2 linked regions of the Macaca fascicularis genome follow. The protein of the gene in region 2 interacts with the protein of the main gene of each other region in a biochemical or structural test. Links are inferred from orthologs where the notes say so. Each region holds a gene or a part of one and is shown on either strand. Other genes may lie near its edges.

Region 1 (4,397 bases), on a different chromosome or scaffold from region 2:
CAGAAACATTCAGGAGTTCAGAAAAGAAAAGAACTGCAAAGTTAGTGACTAAGATCTAAACCAACATGCTGTTTTTCTTAAGACTTCACTTTTCAGTTAGCTTTTTAGTACTATTACTGAGCTACTTCTCAACTAGCTTATACTGCTCTCAAGCTTAAAAGATCAATTCTGAACACGTGAAAAAGTCTACCAAGGTCACAAAAGTCGTATTGCCTCTACTTTCAGATATACTTACATCTTAAAGCATTTAAGGGGAAAAAAAAAAAGGTTTTGGGGGCATTACGAAAAGCACAAAATTCAGGCCGGGCATGGTGGCTCATGACTATAACCCCAGAACCCAGGGAGGCCGAGGTGGGAGGATTGCTTGAAACCAGGAGTTTGAGAACAGCCTGGGCAACACAGTGAGACTCTCATTTCTATTTTAAATTATTACATTTAATTTTTTTAAAATAAAAAACTTGTAAAGCACAGAATTTATTACCAACATCATTTAACTTAGATATCTACATATCCTCAATGGATCATCTTCAAATGTTTCTCTGCCAATTTAACACCCACGAGAAAAAAGGAAATTTAAGTATACTTTGCAGTTAGCCTATTCCCAAGGCATTAAAATGCACTGCTTTATTAATTTCAGCAAAAAAAGAAATATAAGAAAACCTGGTTTTCAAGTGCCATATAACAAGAGGAACTATTAAGAAACAATGATCTCATTTTAGATGTATCATTATTTACTAGGCAAACTACTTATTAGGATTGTAATGATTAAAATTAACAAAAGCTATTTATGAATACAGAGGCAGTTATGGGCAAACCAGAACTTAAATTAGCAAGCCTTAGATGATCTTAAAATTCTAATTTAATTAGATTTAAAATTCTAATGTTTCTAATCCATGCAAATTCCAACTTTTCCTGTTTCCTCAGAGAAATAAAGCCACACATATCCCTGCAGAGATAAGCAGAATTTTAAAATTTAGAAAGAAAATATTTAACAAAAAATTCTTTTCTTACAGCAAACTATTTTAATCAGTTTCTGACCAACTGCTGCCTCAAATAAAGAACTATATTAACTAGCATGAAAAAATATGGTTCTTATATAAATACCTGACATTAAAGGAATGACAAGGTTTTCACCTACAACACAAGGTTTTCACCTGCAATAACATTTCAAGAGCATTTCAGGGGTCCTTAATGACATTTAGTGTTTTTTTTAAAGACAGCATAAAAGGAAAGAATGCACAGATTAAGAAAAGGACGAGATATTTTCAGAGTTTCATTTTAATAACTTACTTTAAAAGATCTGCAAATTCTAACACTAGAGCTGTCATGCCCTCGACTCCACCACTCACAGCATTTATAGTCCAGTAATATTTTAGGACTATATAAAGGCAAAAAGCAGTTAAAACTGCCAAGTTCCCATTATGAAGTGTCCAAGTTAAGGGGTATGACTGAATTCTTACAAAGTCTTGGATAAGATGTTAGCATCTGTTGACATGCCCTTGAATCTGAAAGCAGCTCATTTCAGCTTCCGTCTTTAAAAGCTGAACCTCGCCCCTCTCCCACATCAACATGAATCAATTGCCAGGCACCTCACCAGTCTTAGATGAGCCGAAATTTAAACCTTTCTATTAACCTTTACTAAACCACTGGCCCCCTTCCTTCAGTGTTGTCTGTAGCGAGTTTTACTAGCTCCTGGCTATCTGGGTTTGAAACCCAATTCACTAACTGTGTGACCTTGGTTAAGTGACTTCATCTCAGTTTCTTCTGTAAAATAACAAAAACAACAAAAAAAAAATGCAAATATCTTGCAATGGGTGGGAGAATATGAAATCTGTGTTAAGTGCTCAAAGAATGCTTGACACACAGTAAGCCCTTTAGAAGCGCCAGTTATGATTATTACAGTAATAATTTCATGGACGCAAAGTGCTCAAGACAGAGCCTGGCACATTGGAAAGATAACGATACCGTCAGCCTTGCTGACTTCCTGTTCAGATGCACGTTCAGGAAAAGAGCGCGGAGACCTCTCCAAGATTAGAATAACTTAAAACGATTTGGAGGGCAGGCGAAGACAGGTTCTCACACCTCTTGAGACATGAACGCTTGTTACCAAGTAACAAGAAATGGGCCCCCCAAGACCCCAGAACCACGAAAAATAAAAGCAAGCAGGAAAAGAGCCCCCAAACCCGGTGGAACTCACGCCCTCATCAAACTGCCTTCCGTGAGGACGAGCACCGAAAAGTCCATCTCGCACAGTACGGCGCACGCCGTCCAGGAGGCTGGACTGGGGCCCCCAGCCCAACAATCGCTCCAAAGACCCGTCTGGTGTGCGGGGGCAAACGGGTAGAGGCGGGAAACATGGGGGTGGGGAGCGGAGTTTTCAAATTCCACGGCCGGGAGAAAGCCTGCATCCTCGTGCAATGAATGAGTGGAGCCTGGAGGGTCCGCGGCTGGCGACAAGTTGGGGATCCCGGGCTGGCCTCCCTCCAGCTGCAGCCCCCGGCCCGTGGGCCAACTCGAGAAGCTCACTTCCCACGGTGCTGCAAGCCCAACCGGCCTCCCAACTCCCCTCCCTCGAGCCCCCGGGGCCGCCTGCCGCCCTCGGGCCCGCCTCCCCCTTCAGCCGCCCGCCGCCCCCCTTACCTTCCAGCAGCCGTTGGATGATGCTGTCGATGTTGAGTTTGTCTAAATCCGCCATCGCCTTCCCACCGCCGACCCTCCCGCAGCGGCGCCGCCGCCGGCTCGCGCCCGGGACTCACACCTCCTTTCCCACGCCACGAGCAGAGGCGGTGGTGGCGGCGGTGGCAGCAGCCGCGGCGGGTCCCCCCCCTGCCGCCCCGCTCCCTGCTTCCTCCTTCTCTCCCCACTGGAACCACGAGAAGAACAAAATGGCCGCCGACTCCTTAGACAGCCTCGGGCGGCGCACGGATGCGCGCGGGGAGTGCAGCGGCCCGGCCGGGACTTCTTTATGGGCCATAGGGCGCGCGGGAGGGGGCGGGGCCCGGGCGCGGGAGGGGGCGGGGCCAGGGCGCGGGGCGGGGCGGAGATGGTTGAGCGCAACTGCGTCCACGCGCGGGATCCTTCCGCCAAACGGGCCGAATAAATAGGCCCGCCCCCGACAGCGGGCCCGAGAGTGAGTTGCAAAGTTGCATGCGGGAGTTGGGGCTGGGGGAGGAAATGCAGCTGTGCATACTGCCGGTTGCGGCCATCGCCGGATCTTGTACGTTGAGGCTAGACGTTTGCAGACCTGGCCATGTGGGAACTCACCGAGGGATTTCGGGGGTCCTGGAATTTACCCTTTAAGATAAATCTGGGGTGAGGATGGAAAAGGAGAATAATAAATAAAAGAAGGTTGACTTATTTTGGATTAAGATATACTGGAACTTGGGAGAAGAGAAAGGTTTATTTGGTAACTAAAAAGAAAAAACCCTCTTCGAGATAAGTCAAAATGTAAGTTACTCTTTGTGAGTGGTGGGTGTATGGGTATTTGTATATATATATTTTTGTGCACTTCTGTAACTTTACTTTGGAGGTAAAAAATCCGTCCATAAAGAAAATTTCATCATTTCTCTCCCTTGGATTTCTCTTTCCTGAACTCGGAAAGTTATATAATCATCGGGACGGTTATCCCGATTCTAGCCAGGGCGAAGTTGAACGAGCGCGTGCAGCAGTTGAAAGGGGAATTTGCAGATTTCACGCGTGCAGGCCAGGGGCGGGAAGAGAAGAGGCAAGCTGTGCGGGCGGTCCTGGGTTCTGCAGATACCCGAAGAAACTTTGGCCCATTCCTCTCTGGCTTCCCAGCCTCCCCGAGTGCACGCCTATCCAAGGGGTCCCCAAACTGTGCCACCTCCAGGGGCTGCGCATCGACTTTGGCCGCGTTTAGAAGTACAGCCCACACTCAGCAAACAGATCGGCTCTCTTTCCTGACCTTTCCATGTATGTTGCTTCCTGCAGCGCTTTACATTTTGCAAAGCCCTGTCTCTCCGAGAAATTCATTTTGTTTCCCAATGAATGCAGGATGCACGAATCCCCATCTCAGTATGCCACGAGGTAATTGCACCACCCAGGCATCCTCTTCCAAAGCAATATCCTCAGGGTGAGGGCTCCATGTCCCCTCAGTTGGGCCCCCTCGCTACTGGTGCAGGGCCCTTGAGTTTAAGAACTCAGCCTCTCGATCCACTTTCCTCAGGCACCAACTCACTTTCCCCTGCTACAGCTCTGTCCACCAGAAGTCACATAAGTGCCATTTGTCAGGGCAAGGCAATGAGCCCAGCTGGTGACATTTGGAGTTGGTGCCCAGCGCTGCTGTGAACATCTGACTGTGGAGGTCAGGGTGGCTCTTGCTGGAGTCCACAGGACTTTGGGCTACTCCAGGGCAGGGCGCATCATCGGAATGGCAT
Region 2 (3,637 bases):
CTTATTTTTCCAAGTGTTTAAGACCTAGCCATAAAGGAGTCCTTTCTTTTGTCTTGGAAATACATATATGTCCTTTTATTGTAACTGCTGTCTTAGGAGAACTCTTCTGTTACACAATCTGATTATATACTGCGTATTTTTTCCCCAGGATTACCATCGACCTTCTGTTGAAGAAATTCTCGAGAACCCTTTAATAGCAGATTTGGTTGCAGAAGAGCAAAGAAGAAATCTTGAGAGAAGAGGGCGACAATTAGGAGAGCCAGAAAAATTGCAGGATTCCAGCCCTGTATTAAGTGAGCTGAAACTAAAGGAAATTCAGTTACAGGAGCGAGAGCGAGCTCTCAAAGCAAGAGAAGAAAGATTGGAGCGTAAGTCTGAATGGGGGTCAAAGCAAAGGAGAACTACCAAGGGGGTTATTTTGATGTGTCTGAATATCTCTTTGAGCAGAATATTTTATACATACAGATCTTATTAGAAGCTTTTAAAAATACTTGAGAAACCAAAATATGTATTGTAGATTTTTAATAATCAGGCTTGCTAGCACCTTCATGTTGGACGTCTTTCTCTGAGATCAGTTGCTAGTTATATAATATTGGGCCTTAACAGTGATGGCCTTATACTTTATTGTAGAGTTACTTTTTTCTTTTTCATCTCTACTATGAATACCCTAATGTTTTCCCACTGTAAAGGAAGGTCTTAAAATTGCTGCTTTCCATAATAAAAACCATGACTTTTGTCTTTTGAAATGGCCACTCCAACAGAATTCCAGGTCTAAAACCCTACAGTATGTAGATGAGATATGTTCAGGCAATTCTTTTCTTTTTTTTTAACTTTTTATTTTTGAAAATGAGATGGGGTCTCACTATATTGCCCAGGCTGGTCTTGAACTCCTGAGCTCAAGCAATCCTCCCACCTTGCCTCCCAAAGTGCTGGAATTACAGGTGTGACCTACCACACCTGGTCTGTTCAGGCAATTCAATAGAGAGTCTAGATACAAGATATTTTAAGTCTATAAATAATACTCTGGTGGGTATTAACGTTAACTTACGAGTATTAACTGATTAGGTGTTAATTTAGTTTTGATGTTGAAAGTGTATCTACTCCACCAAGATGAGAGCTACTAGCAATCATTTAGGGTTACGCAAGGTAGCTACAGAGTGAGGTTCTTCATTTTAACATCAGGAGATGAGAGATGGGTCATATTTGTCACCTGTCACCCTCATGACTCACCTGATTTTACTTCTGCAGCTTTATACCTAATCCAGGCTTTAAATAATGAAATACTCTATAGTCCTGTGAGATATGCTTACTGTATAGGTACAACCTATACTTACATAGAAACCTCTGTAAAAAATAAGAAAACTTTTTCTTATAACTTTCCCCAGTGTTTCATAATTTCTTTTCTTTTCTTTTTTTTTTTTTTGAGATGGAATTTCACTCTTGTTGCCCAGGCTGGAGTACAGTGGCACCATCTTGGCTTATTGCAACCTCTGCCTTCTGGGTTCAAGCAGCTCTCCTGCCTCAGCCTCCTGAGTAGCTGGGATTACAGGCGCCTGCCACCATACCTGGCTAATTTTTGTATTTTTTAATAGAGATGGGGTTTTGCCATGTTGACCCAGCTGGTCTTGAACTCCTGACCTCAGGTGATCCACCTGCCTTGGCCTCCCAAAGTGTTGGGATTATAGGTGTGAGCCACTGTGCCCAGCCATAATTTCATATAGCAACTGAAATCTGAATACTTTCTGAATTTTGGGCCATGAATAAATAGTAACCTTTGTTATTAATACTAATCCTATGAACTACCGCCTAACTGAATTGCATTTTTTTTTTCTTTTATTTGAGTGTGGTCATTCAACCAGAAAAAAAGAAGATTTTTGTACTGTGAGGCCAGATCATGTCCTGAAAATTAGCTGTTGCCTATCTTCAATGAAGAGCAGAGATAGCTTTAGTTTTTTGTTTTCCCAATTGAGTTACTCCCACAAAAGATGACCAAAGGTTGAAGCTAACTTTGTATTTGTTTAAACAAGTCCTTTCAAGAAAATCTAAGATAAACATACAGCCTACTAAAACACTCAATTAAAAACTAACACAATCAGTTTGACTGAGGCATAGTGAGAATCCTTTCCCCAAACATTGCTTATCAGTATCAAGCATGCTAGTAGTGATAAGATTGCCAAATGTAAATCGTTTTTTAGTGAAGGTCACTTGTTAATTTTTTTTTTCTTTGTCCATTCTCTTTTTAAAGAGAAAGAACAGGAGCTTTGTGTTCGTGAAAGACTAGCAGAGGACAAACTGGCTAGAGCAGAAAATCTGTTGAAGAATTACAGCTTGCTAAAGGAACAGAAGTTCCTGTCTCTGGCAAGTAGTCCAGGTATGAGAATCAACTTGGTCAACAGAAGCTGGTGCTACAAATGAAGAAATGTGCACCAGTGTTGCTCCCAAAGTGGCTTAGGTAGCCCTTTTCATTTACAAAGTCTCAAATTTTAAGATGGATTTCATTGAATATATGCATTTCAATGGAAACAAAATTCTGTTATAGCAATGATTTATTTCCTGGGTTCATAGACCTGAGGCAATGAGTCACAGAATTTCATGTTTGATTTTCTTAACCTTATCAAACCACATGTTTAGTAATTGATACTTATTAATATTATTATTATTATTATTATTTTCTGAGATGGAGTCTCGCTCTGTTGTCCAGGCGGGAGTGCAGTGGCGCGATCTTGGCTCACTGCAAGCTCCGCCTCCCGAGTTCACGGCATTCTCCTGCCTCAGCCTCCCGAGTAGCTGGGACTACGGGTGCCCGCCACCACGCCTGGCTAATTTTTTGCAATTTTAGTATAGACGGGATTTCACTGTGTTAGCCAGGATGGTCTCAATCTCCTGACCTCATGATCTGCCCACCTCAGCCTCCCAATGTGCTGTGATTACAGGCATGAGCCACCATGCCTGGCTGATACTTATTTTTTAAAATTAGGGCATTTACAAAACTATTGTGTGTTTTAGATTTCAGAGAGATAAACTGCATTTCAAGTAAAAATCAAAATTTTAATACTGCCATGCCTCATCTTTCATAGAAAGCATGTCTTAAAAGGCATGATAAGCCACCTGCAGAATAGGCTGTCACGTTTGGATCTTTGCTAACACCCTTTCAAGCTGAAACACATATTTGTGGAAATTTCATTGTTTAATATCTACATATGTTCTCTGCATTTTCTTCTTTATTTAAAGTCTGGTATATAGATGTTCAGCTTTCTCAGGGTCCTGCCTTTGTGTGGCGTTGTCCCTTCACTCTGCCACACTGAGATGTGGTTATCGTATATACCAGTGAACCATTGTCTAACATTCTCCATTTTATAGAAACCTCTCAATCTAATTCAGTTGACTCTATGTAAAATGCAAACTGTGAAACATCTTTTTGCTTGATTTCTTTAGGGCACAAACTAACTGTTAAAAGTTGTTGGTTTAAAAAATCGAGCATCTGAATTTTCAATAAAATTTAGAGTTTTTTTTAACTCCCTTATTCCATGTAGGACAGCATATATGAAAGCTATTATTCTTATCTTTAATAAATTGAGATATGATCAATTTAGTGAGTATTGGCAGCATTTTGTAAATGGAACAGACAAAAAACCCT

The links.
Region 1: the proteins of NEK2 (region 2) and PPP1CC interact in far-western blotting, tested with the Homo sapiens proteins (2 studies listed by BioGRID and IntAct). The link is inferred for Macaca fascicularis from reciprocal best matches to the Homo sapiens genes NEK2 and PPP1CC.

The regions. Positions count from the first base shown.
Region 1 is NC_088385.1:117,624,288-117,628,684, forward strand, and holds the start of PPP1CC (serine/threonine-protein phosphatase PP1-gamma catalytic subunit), read right to left. Parts: upstream 2,880-4,397; 5' UTR 2,696-2,879; coding exon 2,641-2,695; intron 1-2,640. UniProt on the Homo sapiens protein: Protein phosphatase that associates with over 200 regulatory proteins to form highly specific holoenzymes which dephosphorylate hundreds of biological targets.
Region 2 is NC_088375.1:69,478,759-69,482,395, reverse strand, and holds part of NEK2 (serine/threonine-protein kinase Nek2), read left to right. Parts: intron 1-148; coding exon 149-368; intron 369-2,245; coding exon 2,246-2,371; intron 2,372-3,637. UniProt on the Homo sapiens protein: Protein kinase which is involved in the control of centrosome separation and bipolar spindle formation in mitotic cells and chromatin condensation in meiotic cells.